3 linked regions of the Danio rerio genome follow. The protein of the gene in region 3 interacts with the protein of the main gene of each other region in a pairwise test. Links are inferred from orthologs where the notes say so. Each region holds a gene or a part of one and is shown on either strand. Other genes may lie near its edges. The genes, in order: enkd1, tchp and cdr2a.

Region 1 (6,057 bases), on a different chromosome or scaffold from region 3:
CCGTCTGTTCCTGCAGGACACACACAGATGTCTGAGAGAGAGAGACAGGAGACGCTGCACTCCCTCAAAGAGAGTGAGTGATTGACTGTGTGTGTCTGTGTGTATAGTGTGTGTGTATGTTTCTGTGACATGTCAGGACAAAACCTTAGCACTTTATAATGGCACTGGTATGACATAGGTCAGGGGTGTTCAAATTTGGTCCTGGAGGGTCGGTGTCCTGCATAGTTTAGCTCCAAGTTCATTTAACACACCTTCCTGGACGTTTTTGTATACCTAAAGAGCTTGATTAGCTGGTTCAGGTGTGTTTAATTGGGGTTGGAACTAAAATATGCTGGACAGCGGCCTTACAGGACCGGGTTTGGGCACGCCTGACATATTGATTGTGAATTAGGAGGATGCCATCATGTTTCATAAGTCTTATAAATCATACAGAATGATGTGTGTGCATGAATGGATATCTGGCCGTCAAGTCAGATGAGATGTGTGTGTGTTTGAGTTTGTGTGTGTGTGTGTGTGTGTGTGTGTTTTGTCTGCAAATGCATGTGTGAGGGACTGTGTGGTTTTGTGTGTGTGTGTTTGTGTTTTTGTTTAAGTGTGTGTGCATATGTTTTTGTGTGCGTGCATATTTGAGTGACTGTGAATCAGTGAATCTTCTGTGTTTTTGTGTTTACGCGTACGTGACTGTGTTTTTGTGTGACTGTGTGGTCCTGGTATTCATCACATGAAGACTAAATATCTTTTCAACAGGGGGGTTCGAGTGTTTCGAACGAACCACCCCCCCACGACCAAAAGGTCTAGAATTTGTCCTTTGAATTATTTTATATATTATACAGTTGAAGTCAGAATTATTAGCCCCCTTTAAAAATTTTTTCTTCTTTTTTAAATATTTTGCAAATGATGTATAACAGAGCAAGGAAATTTTCACAGTATGTCTGATAATATTTTTCCTTCTGGAGAAAGTCTTATTTGTTTTATTTCGGCTAGAATAAAAGTAGTTATTAATTTTTTAAACACCATTTTAGGGACAAAATTATGAGCCCCTTTAAGCTATATTTTTTCTCGATATTCTACAAAACAAACCATCATTATACAATAACTTGCCTAATTACCCTAACCTGCCTAGTTACCCTAATTAACCCAGTGAAGCCTTTAAATGTCACTTTAAGCTGTATAGAAGTGTCTTGAAAAATATCTAGTCAAATATTATTTACTGTCATCATGGTAAAGTTAAAATAAATCAGTTATTAGAAATGAGTTATTAAAACTATTATGTTTAGAAATGTGTTGAAAAAATGTTCTCTCTGTTAAACAGAAATTGAGGAAAAAATAAACGCCCTAATATTTCAGGGGGGCTAATAATTCTGACTTCAACTGTATATATAATTACACACACATATATATATACATACATACATACATATATAAAATAATTACTGTAATATATTTTTATTCAATATAGGTAATAAAGTGTAATTTTTAATAACTCTGGCCAGTAATTTGAATCCCATAGAGCCTCAAAGCCTCAATAATGTGACGCGAGTCTAGTGACATAACCCACTGAGTAGTAACGTGAATCTTTGATGCGACATCCATACTAAGTAAGGAAATAGGTTGAAAAGAGCAAGAGAGGCAGAAAAGGCAGGCAGCTGTGTCATTATAGCAAAATATTGAACATATGTTCAAAAAGACTGCCAAACAGGGTAAGGCTAAAGTTACTTACTCCCTCACAGATGAAAATCTGTCCCTATCTGTGAGGTTCTAGGCTAACTGGCCGCATTAGCTGGGAAGTCCTGTTTATTTATTGACTTGTCCAGTACATGACCTCCCTTTGCTTATTTTTTTCAAATAACTGTCCTACGAAGGCTTTAATAGCCAGCGGAGTCCTCAGCTGTCAGATGTCACTTCACAGCAAAAGGCGCTAATCCCATCACGTCTGTGTTTTTGAGGCTGTTTGGTCACTTCATTCGTTTTATTCTGATCGGATATAAATCCGATCGCTCAAACCACTTCAGAAGGTGATCTGGGATGCATTCCAGATGAAATTGGACAGGTTTTTAGACAAAATTAATATAAATAAAACTAATTATGACCTGGAGATAATCTGACCTGCGCCTGAAACACCTGTGGGTGCGCTTTTACAGCCAAAATTCTATTAAAATATGTTTACTGTAAGCATTAAACGTGTTCTAACATTTCAGGCCTGTAGCCAGGGGGGGGGTTCGGAAGACCCACCCCACACTGACAAAGGTCCAGAATTTGTCCCATATATGAGCTCATTTGTCCTATTCTGACTGCTATGCCATCATAAATAATGAAAATAATCCATCAAAAAAGGCTTTAAGACCAAACGTAATCCTCTGATAGCTGTTGCTTCGACTCTAATCTGATGTAAGAGAAGTCTTCTTTCACTACTGTATCGTTTTTAAACAGAGAAAACATTTTACAGCCAACTTTATTTTAAATCTTGGACCTTATTTCTGAAATAATAATGAGCAATAAAAAGGCGTGAAGCACCAGAAGCGGACCATAATAAATTAATTTGAATATATTTTGCCTGTTGTTGACATCCAGGAATTTTCAAATGTACTTTTTTTTTTTTTTACCGAAGAGGCTAGAAAAATTCAGAAGAATTTATTATTATTGTTTTTATTATTATTATTATGTTTTAATTATAATTTTTTATTGAAATGGCCAAATTGTGACTGAGGACAGTTGAATGTGCTGACAAGTTTGTTTTTTGTCTAATAAATGACAGTAGGCTACAGTTTTTTTACTTTAAAACTTTAACAGATTGCAAGCTATTTAATCTTTCTCGCCTGAAAGCCAAAACAAAGGTACGCGAGACGCTGATCAGAGACATGCTTTTTGCTGACGATGCTGCAGTCACCACACACACCCAGGAAGAACTACAGTTGCTGATGAGCCGCTTTTCCATGGCCTGCAAAGACTTTGGGCTGACCATCAGTTTGAAAAAAACAAATGTCTTGAGCCAGGACACTGCCACTCCACCAGCCATCACAGTAGATGATTACCAGCTTGATGTCGTCCACCAGTTCACGTACTTGGGCTCCACCATCACCGATAACCTCTCCCTGGATGCTGAGCTTGACAGGAGGATCGGGAAGGCAGCCTCTACTCTAGCCCGCCTGACAACCCGAGTGTGGACAAACCATAGGCTGACAACTGCAACAAAGATGGCAGTGTACAACACTTGCGTCATCAGCACTCTGCTGTATGGGAGTGAGACATGGACCACCTATGCAAGACAGGAGAGGAGACTGAACACCTTCCACCTAAGAGGTCTGCGTCGCATTCTGGGCATTACCTGGCAGGACAAAGTCTCCAATGTCAAAGTCTTGACTCGAGCCGGCCTTCCCAGCATGGATACCATGCTCCGACAACGTCGCCTGCGCTGGCTTGGTCATGTGCGCCGTATGGAGGATGGGAGAATTCCAAAGGATATCCTTTACGGAGAACTCTCATCTGGGAAGAGAACCACAGGACGCCCATTTCTGAGATTTAAAGATGTCGTGAAGAGGGACATGAAGGCCCTTGACATAAACACCAAGTCCTGGGAAGACCTCGCAGCAGACCGCCTGAAATGGAGGTGCACCCTGACCAAACAGCTCAAGTCAGGTGAGAAGAACATTATGCGTGCGTCAGAGGACAAGCGAGTTCACCGAAAGGTGCAGAGCGTCAGCCAGGGAGCCACCTATCAATGCGACTGCTGCGGTAAAGAATGCCTCTCCCGTATTGGTCTCTTCAGCCACCAACGACGCTGTCTCAGACAATCAGTCATGCCTTAAGATAAGAGCTAGGATACGTCATCCATGTTCAACACTGACCGACGGAGGCCTACTAAGATGAGATCTGACTAGCTAATCCAGCAAAAATGTCACCAAAATGCAGTATTTAAATCTCATTGTTAAATAGAAACTGAGGCGTGTAACTGCAAAAAGGTCCACTTTTTGAGAAAAACAGAACCACCTCTTTCACCAGGCTGGCTACAGGCCTGTCCAAGTATAGCATTAGCAGTAATTTTTTACCTTGTGGGGACAACTTTGTGGTCTAATGGGGAAAAACAGCTCATAAATTAGACAGAACAAAGTATTTTGACATTGTATTTTGACATGACTGTTTTCAGTGGGGGTTGGGTTGGGTATGGGGAGTGAAATATACAGTAAAGAGCCCAAAACATGAAAGCCCAACTTTTGTGTGTGTGTGTGTGTGTGTGTGTGTGTGTGTGTGTGTGTGTGTGTGTGTGTGTGTGTGTGTGTGTGTGTAGCTCACAGGTCTCTGGTCAGTGAACTGCTGTCTCTCCCAGTGAAAGCGGACACTCTGAGCATTCGTTCTAGACGGGCTGATCTGGACCAGCGTCTCTCTGAGGTGGAGGAGGCCATCAAGATCTTCTCACGGGACAAAGTCTATGTGAAAGTGGACTCTTAAACTGCTCTGAGATCAGACCGTTTCTACTGCGCTTATATGAGTTTCATGAGTTCCCTGCATTTCAGTGCTGGATGCTTTAGTTGATTTATTTCTTACTAATGATATTCTGTATTTATGCGTGCTTTGGTAAATCATCATTGTTAAAAGTTCCAGTTAGGATGTGAAAAGTAGTGCTGGCCAAAAATGAATCACGATTAATAGCACCTAAAATAAAAGTTTGTTTTGACATCATTTAAGTGGGTGTACTGTTTATATTTATTACGTATATATAAATACACACATGCATGAATATATTTGAAAAAAGTTTATGCATATATAGATATAAAATAAATATGTCTATGATACTATTTATATATACATTAATATATCAATGTAGCAAAGCTGTTTTGTATAGTTTTGTTATTAATATTATTTATCTTGAATGTGATTAATCGCAATTAATCTTTGACCAGCACTATTAAATGTCGAAAATTATGACATGTGAAAACTATGAATATTAAAATTCTAAATTATGAGACAAAAATTGACATTTGGATGTTAATTAGATGCTAAATGAAAGATTAAAAATAAGAATAAAATCCTAAATTAAAGTTATAATGACATAAATAATTAAGATTATTAGATTTATTACCTTTTTTTTTTTTTTTTACTTTTTTCATCAGTTATGACATAGTGGTATGGTATAACATGCTAAAAATATGATATACTACATTATAATTATCACAAGTCAAAAATTTGAAGAAAAACACAATTTGAAAATTAAATAAAATGTATTATTATATCTATGAGATAAAATTTTTAATGACAAGAGTTTTTTTTATCATTATGACTTATTATTTCATAAATTTTGAAAGAAAATATCAAAATTGTGACACACTCAGACAGTTATGAGAGTAGTTATTAGAATTTTGTTTACAATCACATTAATAGCAAAAAAATGTGAATTATTAAAGTACAATTATGACATACTAAATCATAATTCTGAAAGAAATATGACAATATTAATTTGTCATAATAGTGACTTAGTTTGACATGGAGTCTTAATTATGACAGTATTATTTTAAATGTAAGATAGTATATAGTTATGACATAAATCATAAAAAGTCATGAGAATTTAAATTATTATTAATTAAAATGTTCCTATTTTGTCGTAATTCTGGACTTCTTTTGTCATTAAATGTCATAATTTAACATTTACGTCATTATTTTCTAATTCATGATGTAGATATCCTCAATTTTGTTAAGAATAAAATTTCTCTGATATCATTTTTAACATTTTATTCAATAATTGTGCATTTTATGTCATAGTTATGATTTACCAAAGTATGTTTTCATCTAATGTGACAGAAATCGGTTTTCATGGTGGATTTTCTTCATGATAGTTCATAATTCTCTGTAAATGAGGGTGTTTTTACTTGCAGATTGTGTGATCAAAGTATTCCTGCTGCCATGTACAGTTACAGTTATTAAATGTCTATTATGGCAAGGTGCTATCCTTCATGCATAATGTCAGTCAAATACATTTTGATAGAGCAGTCTTTACATGGCAGTGGTGCTTGTTTTCATTCATTCATTTTATTTGGCTCAGTCCCTTTGATTCATCAAGGATTC
Region 2 (7,165 bases), on a different chromosome or scaffold from region 3:
TTCGTTCGGTTATCCGTAGCACTATCCACTCGCCATAGTGTGGCAGCTAAAATCCACGCATACACTATCGAGCGTGTATGAACTGTGATTACTTTTTAAATTGCTGATTAGCTATTGGCCATTTCCCTCTCTGACTGAAGGCAGTCGACCAATCGCGACAGACTGTCATCGGTCCAATCAGCGCAGATTAGCTCCGCGCTAAGGAGGGGTTTGGGAACAAATGAATCACTGGACGATTCATACAGGAGTCGCTGGGATAATTAGGTAAAAATAAATGCAGATTATAAGACCATGAAAGTGTTTTTTGACCTTGCATGCATATTAGACTGTTGTTGGAGACTCTTACAACCAGGATATGACCCTATTTCATGTATAATATGGGCTCTTTAATCATCCTAGCAGAGTTAAAAGTTGTTTATAAGATTAAATGTCCATTAATGTAATGGGGTTGGCCACAATTCATGCAATAATAACTGTAAAATACACAAATCAATCACTCTTACATGCTTATTGTGTAAAGACTAAGACTGCATCCAAGGTTGTAAACTTCTTAAATATTAATAGTCATTTCTTTAAAGTGACGATGAGCAAGTTTGAATTTTCATTACTTTCACTGTTGCTACTTCAGTAATTTTCTCAGAGCATTTGCTAGTACTATAAAAAGGAACGATCTGTCCTATTTCTTTTAGTGAGATTATGAAGTGGGCATTCAATGGACACTTTACTATCACACGAGGCCACAAGAGAGGATTTGTGAACGGTATTAAAGCACCCCAGAGAGATACCCGATTCAAATGTTATCACTCGATTGAATGGGCATTATGAGTGGTTATCGGCTGATAGATATGGGTCAGTAAGGGCCTTCTGCAACTTCCTGTTAGTCTCAGAAGGCTGTTATCATACATCCACATGGTTAATTAGCTATACTAACAAAGAAGACTCCACACCCAAATCTGTTTTTATATTAGTGGCGGTTGGGTTTAGGGTTGGGGTAGACGTTAATAAAATACAATTAATGGAAAATGTAATATTTAATATAATTATCATGGTTAATCGGTTATACTGATAAAGATGACTTCAGATCCACATCTGCTTTTACAGTACTGTGATGGCTGGGTTTAGGGTTGGGGTAGGGGTAAACGTTACTAAACTACAATTAATGGAAAAAAAAATAATAATCGAAATAATTCTCGTTCATTTACAGCCATAGCTGTATATAATTTATAGCTGATTTACAATTTGGATTAATGATAACAGCCTTATGAGCCTACTAGTAGGCGCATATCTATCATATAACATATCTATCTGCTGATAACCACTGATAACGCTCATTCAATCTTGGAGACGTCTATTTGATGTTTGTCTTTACATCTTTTAGATATTTATCAGTGCGTTTTCTCATCTGCAATACATGTATTGGACATTTCCATTTGGACATTGCTGATAATATGATAATATAAGGTGTATATCATTTTGAATGTTACTACAGCATACATTTTAAAGATATTTATCAGACTTTGTACTTGCAGGTGTGTGCGATATGCAAAACTGATGCTTATAAAATGACAACATGGCGAATGTAGTACATAAAGATTATATTCATGATTCTCACATTTGTACTATATATACTTTTTATTGGACAAAAATGTATAATTAAGCAAATTAAGTGAATTCAATGGACTTTACTATCCTATGGGGCCACAGGAGTAAATATGTGAGGTGATAATGACACCATGGAACATGTAGATGTGGTATTTCTCATTCAATGTTATACAATATATAATAGCCCTATTACACTGTTATTAGTGAATATGGGTTCAACCAATAAACTGTAAAGAATCAGTAACATGTTTCTTTTTTTTAACTAGGTATAATGATGTACCATTATTTCCCTCACAGTTCAACCACTGAATATTAAAATTCAAATTCAGAATTAATTACTTTTGTCAGACCATGAATAACCCCAAAAACTAGAGATGAATTTTTCCCTGCAAAGTTAAGAATTCATTCATTCATTTTCTTGGCTTAGTCCCTTTAAAGTTAAGGACAGTTCACCCCATAAATAAAATTATGTCATTATTTTCACTCACTTAATTCTCTTGTGTCAAACCAGTTTGATTGTATGCCTATTTCTTCTGGAAAGAGCTGGAAACCTGTAACCACCCTACTGAAAAAAAAACCTTAAACCGGGCAAGGCTGGTTGGCTGGTTTTAGCTGGTCGACTAGCCTGGTTTTAAAGGGGTTTTGGCCCTTTCCAGGCTGGTTTCCAGTTATTTCCAGCCTGATCTGAGCTGGTCAGGCTGCTAAGAAAATGACCAGCTAAAACCAGCTTGAGCAGCCTGGTTTAAGCTGGACAGCTGGTTTTGGCTGGTCAAGCTGGTTTTAGCTGGTCACCTCCCAGCCTTTCCAGCTAAGACCAGGCTGGAAATAACTGAAACCTGTCTAAAATCAAGCGGGTCGACCAGCTAAAACCAGCGAACCAACTTAGGCTGTTTTAAGCTGGTTTTTTTCCCCTGCAGGACCTTGACATCCATAGTAGACATACCTATTTGTTTTTCCAACAATGAAAGTGAATGGTTACAGGTTTTTAGCTTTCTGTTGAACACAAAAGATTGTTTTTAAAGAAGAAAGAAACTCATAACGGTTTATAACCATCTGAGAAACTAAGGTAAATATTTCGGTGAACTCCCCTTATGCGACATCTCCATGTTTTGAACATGCCTTAATTTAATCTATTGCTTCATTTGTTAGTTTTTTTTATTGGTTTAAACGTTTTCTACTGTAAACTTTTATGTGATGATATTGCTATATTTATCTGATACAAATTAATGTAGAAATATACCCCAGCTATAAACCCCTGCCTGCTTGTACCTCGTCACTCGCCGTAGGTAACCAGGAAGTAGAGGCGTAACCAAGTGGACCGCTTCTTTTTTGGTGTTTTGTTTACACATCCGCCGTCGTTAACCGCTTTCCTCTGACTACAGTTTCGTTAAAATACGTACAAATATCAACGTGAATGTAGAACTCACTTAGCAAGTCGATTCTAAAATCTACTGACTTATTTTGTAGTGCGATCAATAACGTTAATAATCCTCATTTGCAGCATTATGTTGCCATGACTGCTCCAGTGATCGCAAGTCAAGATCTCCGGTGAGAAGTAACGTTAAACTCGGTCTCCTCAGACCCATGGCTCTCCCGACGCTCTCCGCACACTGGCCGAGTCGGGTGCGGACTCTGGAGCAGCAGCTGGTGCGGCAGCGGGAACAGGAGGCGCGGCTGAGGCGACAGTGGGAGCAGCACTCGCAGTACTTTAGGGAGCAGGATGTCCGCAGCAGTAAACAGGCGCAGTGGAGCTCACGACAGTCCTTTCATCGCAGGTGCTTATACCTCCTGTAGCTTATGCATTGAATGTGTTATTTAAACTATTGCCGACACTTCAGCCAACAACAGCAACAGTTTTCCACCAGTTTCCAAAGCATTAGTTCAGATTTGGGTTATAATCCTGCTGAAAGAAAACAGCATATGCTGGTAAGGTATGTTTTAATGCTGGTTTTTGCTGGTCAAGACCATCGTAAACCAGCTTCAAAACTTACCATACCAGCGTAGCCTATGCAAGGAGTGTCCAAACTTGGTCCTGGAGGGACGGTGTCCTGCATATTTTAGTTCCAACCCCAATCCACACCTGAACCAGCGGATCAAACTAGGTAAACTAGAAACTTCCAGAGAGCTGTGTTGACACCCTGCATAGGACACCCTATCCAGGACCAAGTTTGGACATCCCTGGCCTATGCTGTAGTTTTCAGTGGAGACTTTTGTGTTTAGTTTTTGTATTCAATGTAAAATAAAATAATATTACTGTATGCTATGTGCAGATGTATGCTCAGTATTTTCAATTTGAATCTGGCCTAAATAATGTCTTGTCATTACTAATAAATACATTAAAGGGGTAGTTCACCCCAAAATGTAAAATTCATTACCATTTACTCACACTCTGGTGTTTCTAAAGTTTTATGAATCTATTTCTTCTGTTGAACACAAAGCAAGATATTGAAGAGTGAAGAGCAGCAACCATTGGCATCCAAAAAATAGTCTGTTTTGTCCCACATTCTTCAAAATCTCTTTTGTACTCTTTTGGACTTAAAGTAAAAAATGAAATCAAAACTAAACATTATAATTTTCTTAGATCACATGGCCAGTTTTGTGGTAAACAATTCTTCTGTGCATGTCATTTAGAAAAGCAAAAATGGTTTGCCTTTTAAAAGTCTGAAAATGCACTTCCTGTTTGTTTTCAGTTAAATTCTCATATTACAACGTCTTGGGTATTGGGTGTGGTTATAATACTTAACCATGCCCCCTCTAACTGTCAGTTTTGACAACAAACAGAAATGATGAGGAAGAGGTATCTGTTAGGTTGCAATAACTCTCCCCAAACCCTTTTCCTAATCTTTCAGAGTGAAATGCCTACTATACTACATCCAATCAGCTCACAGTACAAAAAAACAAGCCACACCCACTGTTTTCTCATTTAATATTCTTTTTCTCTAGGAACTGCGTAACAATACAGTGGGAAAAAAGGGTCGCAGATTCCAGTTCATGCGGTCTTTAAAGGGATAGTTCACCCAAAGTCATTTTTTTCATTTTCCAGTTGTTCCAAACCTGTTTATGCTTTTTTTTTGTTTGAATACAAGTAAAATATTTTGAGGAATGTTGGAAAACAGCAGTTCAACAGTTCTGCAAAAGTAAGAAATTTAGTTTAGAATCACTTAAGGCTGAGCAAATGGTGAGGAAATGTTCATTTGTGGTTAAACTAGCCCTTTAATAAAATAATTATTCAAATAGTTAAATATGACACGTTATTGAATATGATATTCTTACCTTTTATCAAGGCTGAGATGTCTTTCTGAAAAGTAAAAAATTTATGGTGTGTAAAAGTTCACTCCTGTTTTTTTGGCAGTACTGGTTCTGAAAGTATCTTTCCTTACATTTTTCTTAAGTAGTTGTTACATTTTTATAAACCAAGTACTAAACCAAACAGCTATGAGGAGAATTACAGCATTACACACTTTGATTTGAGGTAAAAAAAACATAAATCTGACAAAACTATACAAAAGTTTAACACTGCATACTTAATGCCTATAAGGAGGAGGATAAATTGCATCATCATACTGCAAATAAACATTTATGTGAATTAAAAAAAAACTTATTTTCTTGATCTTGTAGTATGTCAGCATTTCAGCGGGACCGCATGAGGGAGGAGAAGCAGCGGAAACTAGAGGAGCGCAGGGAGCGTCTGAGGACGATGCTTCAGGAGGAGAGAGATCAGCTGGAGGCAGAGCTCAGAAATATTCATCCAGATAGAGACACGCTAGCCAGACAGCTAGTGGAAAAAACAGACGCCCTCCGTTCTGCTAGGGAGGAGAGGAGGAAAAATGTATGAACACTAATTGTTCTGTCATAAAGCCCTGTTATGTTATCTGATTGAATGTCATATCTGATCTGATATGTCGATTTGTTTTATCTTCTTCAGCTTGCACAGGAGCTGCTGAGGGAACACTGGAAGCAGAACAACTCACAACTGCGGAAGGTCAGTCATACGTTGAGATATAAATAAATGAATATCTCAAAACTTGACATCTATGTTAGTTATGGGTGTTATTAAGAGTATTTAAAGTGTGAAGAAACATTTTCTTATTAAGGAAAATATATATAACGTCAATAAGCAAGTATGCTTTAAATTGAATAAAACGCCAGTAAAGTTTGTACAGCTGGCTCTGCCGCTCTCATATAGTCACCATCTGAAGCAAAGCAGGGCTGCACATGGTCAGTACCTGGATGTGAGACAAATGGGAGCTCTAGGTTGCTGCCGAAAGAGGTGTTAGTGAGTCCAGCTGGGGGTGCTCAATCTGCTGTCTGTGTGGGGTCTTAACGCCCCAGTATAGTGAACGGGACATTTTTCTCGTCTTTTTTTTTGGATGAGACGTTAAACCAAGGTCCTGGTACTCTCTGTGGTCAATGAAAATCCTTTGAAATTAACGTGTCCTGGCCAAATCTGCTCAATGGCTTCTGTCCATCATGGTTTACTAACCATCCCCATATCAGTTTGCGTTCACACCAAAATTCGCGAGAGCATCAAAGTCGCCGGAAGTCATTCATTTTTAATTAGAGACTGCGACTATAAGCAGCGAGGAGGATTTTTTAATTTCTTTTTTCTAAAAAACATTGTGAATCTCACTCTAACTATAAGGACAGTACAGAACAGTATTGCTGCTTCAGAATATTTCAGACAAATGGGCACCTATTGGATAAGTGGAGCTAAGCCACACACACAACAACATGGGCTTCCATAGGTAAATAAATTTGATAAAAAAGTGTGCAACATTTTTACACTCGAAAGCACGTTTTAAGCTGTAAAGGTAGACAGCGTTGTTGTCAGGGCTTCATCACACTGGCTCCTGGTGGTGGATGAGAAGATTCCCGCCAAAATTTGCAAAGTGTTTTGAGTACTCAGAAAAGCGAAAAGCTCTATTTAAATGAAAGTAATTAATAATAATTATTATTATTTATGTTACAAAAGTTTTTTGTCAAGCAAATGCTATTCTTTTTTTAATAAAAAATCTCATCATATCAATTTCCATAAAAATATTAAACAGCACGATAATGTTCAATGTTGATAATATAAAATGAAATGTAATAATATAATAATATATTATATATTTATTTAAAACCATTCTTAAAAAATTATAGAGTACTATAAATTTTGGAATAATAGTGTCACATAAAAGTCAACATTATACTTGCGCTATTAAACTCTCAAACTACAGGAATAGCTTGTTTATTTTCACTTGTAACTTTTTATATATAATTTATTATTATTATTATTATTATTATTATTATAATTGTTTCTTATTATTCATTCCTACAGAGGAATCAAGCCATGATTTTTATGAAAATGTAGTTAGACGCAAGTTGTAAGCTAATACAGCATGTGATGAGTTTCTTCCGTGACTGAACTGTAACTCTGAGCTCAGGATTCGGTTCCGAACACACGCAACCACTTCTGGAGCATTATTCAATCAGACATCTGAGTGTCTCGAATGATTGTGTGTGTGCAGGTGGAGTCAGAGCTGCACAAAGATCACATTGTGAGTCAGTGGCAGGTTCAACA
Region 3 (6,365 bases):
ATGATCACTAGGTCTTGTGGTAGCACTTTTAGCTTAGCTTAGCTTAGCATAAATTATTGAACTAGATTAGACCGTTAGTATCTTGCTTTAAAAATGGGAATTGTTCATGCTTATTTCAGCTAACATGTTAATCAGTGCTGTTGCAAATAAAAATTTTTACCAATTTTGAATCCAGTCAGCCAGTCATTATGTCTGGCGGGAACACTTTTAGCTTAGCTTAGCATAGATCATTGAATCAGATTAGACCGTTAGCATCTCACTATAAAAATGTGATTGTTTATGTTTATTTCAGCTAACATGTTAATTAGTGCTGTTGCAAAAAAGTCCTAATTTTTGAATCCATTTAGATGATCGCTAGGTCTGGTGGGAGCACTTTTAGCTTAGCTAAGCATAAATCATTGAATTAGATTAGACCGTTAGCATCTTGCTTAAAAAATGGGAATTGTTTATGCTCATTTCAGCTCACATGTTAATTAGTGCTGTTGCAATTAAAGTCTTATATTTGAATCCATTCAGCCGATCGCTAGCTCTTGTGGGTGCACTTTTAGCCTAGCTTAGTATAGATCATTAAAATGGATTAAACCATTAGCACCTCACCTTGAAAATGGGAATTTTTTGTGCTTATTTCAGCTAACATTAGTTGATTAATAAAAATTACAAGATTTTTTTAATTTTAAGATCACGTGTCTTCAGTAATTACGATGTTTATTTTGCTAGCTCTCATTGTTATTTTTATGGTAAATAATCAATCCGTGTAAGTTAATCCACTGAAAATGTGTTTGTTTTGGTCATCTTCAATCAAAATCTGATCATTTGCTTCCGTGTTTGGGGTTGAGATCCTTCTATTGATGTCAACCTGAGGGTTTCCATAGCAACTGCAAATGAATACCCTCACACCGTTAGTTTGCTATAAGGGAATGATGTGCAAAAGAAAGCCCCGCCCCCTACTCAATATTCCATTTCCGTTGGAAGCACATCAACATGCTGAAATATAAGTTTCATCAACTTTGGGTTCACATGGACTTTAAACACTTATTTGTTTTACTTCTGGAATCTCAAAATGAATGTCTTTTGTGTATTCTACTTTATAATTTTGATGCCTAACATAAAAATGAAGTGCATCACCATAACATGAGTATAGTTTCAGTTTTCCAAGGTGGAGTTTATGTTCTTTTTCAAGCCTTAGAAGCCAGACCTGGGAATCAAATGGTTTATTTCTGTGTTGTTTGCACTGTAAGGCTTGTGAAGAATGTCAACTCCACCTTGGAATGCTCCACTTTAAGTAACCGTTACTTTGAAAAGCTGCTTTGCTCTTGAATGCGTTCTCAAACAGTGTGACCTAAATAGCTCCATACAAATAAACTCCATAATGAAAATGAATACTTTATTTTATAGTCCTCCCCCTCTTATTATTTATATATATATATATATATATATATATATATATATATATATACTTTTTTTGTTTTTGTTTTTTGATACATGCATATATCTCTGTGGGCCTAAATATAAATATAATATAAATATTCATTATATATATATATATATATATATATATATATATATATATATATATATATATATATATATATATATATATATATATATATATATGGGAAAAGTCAGTTTTAGTAAACAAAGTCTGTTATTATGATATTTGTTGTTTAACACTTTAAACTACAGTTTAATTGAATAAATATACAACTTACAATTGACAATATACTTTAGATTTTTTTCTTCTCAAATTTAATTTGATTCCTGTTAAAAGGAAAAATGTGTCCTTAAGGCTTAGTTTATTATTATTATTACTATTATTATTATTATTACTATTATTATTATTAATGATGATATTATTAATATTATTAATGATATTATTATTATTATTATTATTATTATTATTATATTATATTATTTTCTATTATTACTTATATAATTATTATTAATAATTATATTATAATAATTATTATTATGATTATTAATATTATTACTGATATTATTAGTATTATTATTAATCATATTATTATTATTTTTATAATTAAGTATATTGTTGTTGTTGTTGTTGTTGCTGTTGTTATTATTAATTATATTATTATTGTTAATATTAATATTTGTAGTAGTAGTAGTAGTAGTAGTAGTAGTAGTAGTATCATTATTGTTTATATTATTAAAATTAATTTTTATTATTATTATTATTATTATTATTATTATTAATTATATTATTATTATTATTATTATTATTATTGATATTATTAATTGTATTATTATTGATATTAATATTATTATGATTATAATAATTATTATTATTAATAGTATTATTGGTAATATTATTATTATTATAAAAAAAAAATAATTTGGTTGTGATTTTTGATGTTTGATTGTATTTTTTAATACTCTTGCATGTACATTATGAATGTATGAATTTAAAAACATCGTACCTTAACTTTACATTCATAACACTTGTTTTATGATGTGTTTATGATGTCTCCAGTCAGTGAACTAGTTCTGCTACATTGAATATTTCCCTCATGAAATGCCTGTTGTCCTGCAGGAGCTGGACCTCAGAGGGTCTGCATGAGGAGCGGTCGTGGCCTGTGCTTAGTGAGCGGTGTGTAGAGGAGGAAGAGGAGACCTCTACCCTTCAGCACAGCCTCCACAAGCTGAAGCAGCAGCTGGCGACGGAGCGAGCCCGACGGGTGGAGGCAGAGCGAGAGACTGAGCTGACTGTTCTGGAGAACAGTGCTCTGGAGGACCGCCTGAGCCTGCTGGAGGGAGCCCGCCGCAGACAGGTACAGCCTCCACCCGTTAGCGCATTAGCTTGGGCAACCTAAAAATATGTCTTTTTTTTTTTCGATTCGGACGTTTAGAAATGAAACTTAAGAGACAGATGATGTTTAATTTTACTGGTGATTCCAAATATGTAATGAGATCTTAAGCTTTGATGAATTTGATGTTTCTCCGCTCAGACAGAATGCCTGAGCATACTGCCCGAGAGGCGTTTCAAAGATGGCCGCCGAGTGAAATGGCTTCCCTTAAAAGAGACTTTGGTTGTTATTAGTGCTGCCAATCGATTAAAAAAAATTAACTAATTAATCGCACCTTTTTAAAAAAATTCATCGCGATTAATCGCATTTAAAATACTGAAACTTGTAATTTTGGCTATTCAAATGTAAAATTAATGTAAACGCAAGACAAAAACTATTTAAATTTAAAATATAATTGTTTATTAGAATTAAAATTCAAAATATAATTGTTTATTAGAATTTTTGTTTAACTTGTAACACAGATTTCTTCACGTAAACAACATACCCACAATAAACCATCAAGATCCTGGCTTGACAGGATCCCTCCTACCTCTTCAGGTAGCCTATGTCGCACCACTCACCCCCACCGTCCTTCAGGTACGTCTCGAGCGCACACGCCCCTACTCAGATATGTCGCTCACTCCACCCCTGACACCCTTCAACCGGCCTGACACAGACACACACACAACGCGCTGCAGACGTTTTGGCCCCAACGGCCTTCCATACTGGAGCGACTCCCCTCAGATTCAACACGCATGATCACGTTCATCAAATTTGCCTAAACTAAGCGTCCTAAAGTATTACTGTATTTCACAAGGATTCTGACACAACATCGTGAAGCATACGCTTTTGTTGCGTTTAATGAGGAAACATGCTAAACTTGGAGGGTTCATGCTGAAAGGCAGAGTAATGCCCTGTCTTTGACAGCTCGCGACTTCATCAGAGACTTTCTGAGTACATTCGCATAAGACACCAATACTCCGATTTTAATATGATTAAGATAATACTCTTATTAAAATTCTACCGTGTAGCCTAAGCAGTGATTTTATTACCTTAAAGCAACACCGAGTCACGAAATGCGGAGGATTTTCTTTCTGTTCGCCATGCGGTATCAACTTACAACAGATGTCGAAAGTTAAAAATGAAACACCCGAAATTGCATGAAACTCTGGAGAGCCTGGTTATGCGACTAATTGTTTTATACTGAAACTTGCCTTCAAAAAGTGGTTCCTTGGTCTTATCCACATTTCTTGCATGTTGAACACACGTCCACCACAACAGGAAGTAAAAAAAACCTGCAACTGCGTAAATTTATTTTAACCCGTTAATTCAGGGGTGTCCAAACTTTTTGGGCCGAGGGCCAGAAGCAAAAAAAAAAAAAAGTTATTCCCGGGCCATATATTAAATACATTACACAGACACGTGCATATATATATATATATATATATATATATATATATATATATATATATATATATATATATATATATATATATATATATATATATATATATATATATATATGTGTGTGTGTGTGTGTGTGTGTGTGTGTGTGTGTGTGTGTGAATATGTATATGTGTATATATGTATGTATGTATGTATGTAGCCTGTGTGTGTGTGTGTTATAGAATTATTTTAATTTGTTATTTTAATTCATCGTCCAACTGTGTTTCTAGAAAGACTTTCGTTTTTAAAATCTTGAATCTTCTCTGGGCAAATTACACTTGCAACACTCCTCCCTTATAAATTCTCCTTCAGTGAAAGGTTTCCTGTGCTGTGCGATTAGCTGGGCTACATCATAACTAGCCAGCGTAGAATTTTCTTGCACTTTATTAGCACGAAAAAAAACTGCTGTTGTTGAGCTGATAAGCCAGCTGCTATTTGTTTTACTTTTTGATCTCGTTCGGCACCAGTGTAAGAGCTGAAAGCCTGATGATTTATTTTATAATGTCTTTTAATATTATATTCCTTCATTACTGTAACTGATTCCTGGCAAATTAAACAGACACATTTCCCGCTGACCTCTGTGAAGAAATATTCTTTGCCCCATCCTGACTGAAATTTCCTGCACTCACTGTTGATTTTCCTTGTTCTTGCTTGTGCCATGGCTCGCCTAAACCTGATTATGAATTATGTTTCTTTCAGTTTGTTGTTCGGTCCGTTTTACTTCATAACAGGAACTGCTGCCTAATTGAAGGCATGTAATAGCGACACCCGGTGGTTATTTATTGAATTACACACATTTTTGTATAGTGGGCCAGTTTCTATAAAATATTCATAAAAAGCCTTGCGGGCCGCCACAAAACTGATCGCGGGCCGCAGATGGCCCGCGGGCCGTAGTTTGGACACCCCTGCGTTAATTATTTAAAATTAATCGCATGCGTTAGCGCACTAATTTTGACAGCGCTAGTTGTTATATAACATTCCGCCCAATAAAACAAGCTATCATCCATACTTGCATGATACATGCTGCCTTTGTTTGCACTCAGTGATGTTGAATTTGAAATGAAATGAAACAAAAACATGTGGTTGTTGCATAGGCTAATGATGTTTTCTGCAAATGACCAAAGTATTTTTATGAGCTGAAAGGCAGAATGCGAGTGTTTTCATCAAGCTCGACATTATATAACAGTTTCAGGTTGGGTTTTAGTGTTTGTAACATGTGACACACATTGTGACATGCGGTTTCACTTTTGACAGGCGGAGCTGGAGGCCGAGGTGGAGGAGCTGCGTCTGCTGTGGCGCTCCGAGTCTTCCAGCTCCAGACTGACCGACACGCTGCTGCCTGACAGTGTTTTCTTCAGTGCAGAGGAGCGGCTGGGGGTGGAGCCTGAATGTGAGGAGGAGGCGGAGTTTCCTCAGGGGCGCTGCCGCTGCAGCAGTGATAGTTACGTCAGAGGAGCTCGAGCGGAGGAGATCCGGCGTGGACACGAGCGCTCCTGCATTCGCAGAGCTCAGGCCGTCAAGCAGCGCGGCATCTCTCTGCTCAATGAGGTGGACGCTCAGTACAGCGCCCTGCAGCTCAAATACGAGGAGCTGCTGCGCCGCTGCCAGCACGGGGCCAACAGCCTCAGCCATAAAGCCGTCCAGACGCCCAAATCCCAGAGCTGCTCCGCCACAGACACCGCCTGCCTCTCCGACCAGCTCCATCAGCCCGAGTACAAAGCCCTGTTCAAAGAGATCTTCACCTGCATTCAGAAGACCAAAGAGGACCTGAGTGAGAACAGGGCTTTGCAGGCCCAGTAAGGTGTGGCTGTTTTAAAGGGGGAGTTCACCCAAAATTCTGATGAAATTCTGTCACCATTTACTCATCATTTGCTTGTTGCAAAACGGTTTGGGTTTCTTTCCTCTGTTGAACACTAAGGAAGATGAACTGAAGAGTGCTGAACAGAAAAGAGGATATCTTGAAGAATGCTGGGAAAACATCCATTGACATCCATAGTATTTGTTTGTTCCTACTATGGATGCCAATGGCTGCTTTTTCCCAACATTTTTCTTGTTTTGCGTTCAACAGAAGAAGCACTTGAGTAAATTATGAGTAAATGGTCATTGTTTTTGGGTGAT

Evidence for each region.
Region 1: the proteins of cdr2a (region 3) and enkd1 interact in binary tests that used the Homo sapiens proteins (3 or more experiments, as listed by UniProt). The two-hybrid records come from large-scale screens. The link is inferred for Danio rerio from reciprocal best matches to the Homo sapiens genes CDR2 and ENKD1.
Region 2: the proteins of cdr2a (region 3) and tchp interact in binary tests that used the Homo sapiens proteins (3 or more experiments, as listed by UniProt). The two-hybrid records come from large-scale screens. The link is inferred for Danio rerio from reciprocal best matches to the Homo sapiens genes CDR2 and TCHP.

The regions. Positions count from the first base shown.
Region 1 is NC_133183.1:3,679,751-3,685,807, forward strand, and holds the end of enkd1 (enkurin domain-containing protein 1), read left to right. Parts: coding exon 1-73; intron 74-4,285; coding exon 4,286-4,446; downstream 4,447-6,057. UniProt on the Homo sapiens protein: Microtubule-binding protein which regulates microtubule organization and stability. Promotes the stability of astral microtubules and facilitates the proper orientation of the mitotic spindle.
Region 2 is NC_133180.1:20,592,874-20,600,038, forward strand, and holds the start of tchp (trichoplein keratin filament-binding protein), read left to right. Parts: upstream 1-2,964; 5' UTR 2,965-3,186; coding exon 3,187-3,377; exon of another isoform or gene 3,378-3,502; intron 3,503-3,593; exon of another isoform or gene 3,594-3,742; intron 3,743-5,220; coding exon 5,221-5,431; intron 5,432-5,527; coding exon 5,528-5,584; intron 5,585-7,112; coding exon 7,113-7,165. UniProt on the Homo sapiens protein: Tumor suppressor which has the ability to inhibit cell growth and be pro-apoptotic during cell stress. Inhibits cell growth in bladder and prostate cancer cells by a down-regulation of HSPB1 by inhibiting its phosphorylation.
Region 3 is NC_133178.1:62,632,536-62,638,900, reverse strand, and holds part of cdr2a (cerebellar degeneration-related protein 2), read left to right. Parts: intron 1-2,548; coding exon 2,549-2,786; intron 2,787-5,501; coding exon 5,502-6,047; 3' UTR 6,048-6,365.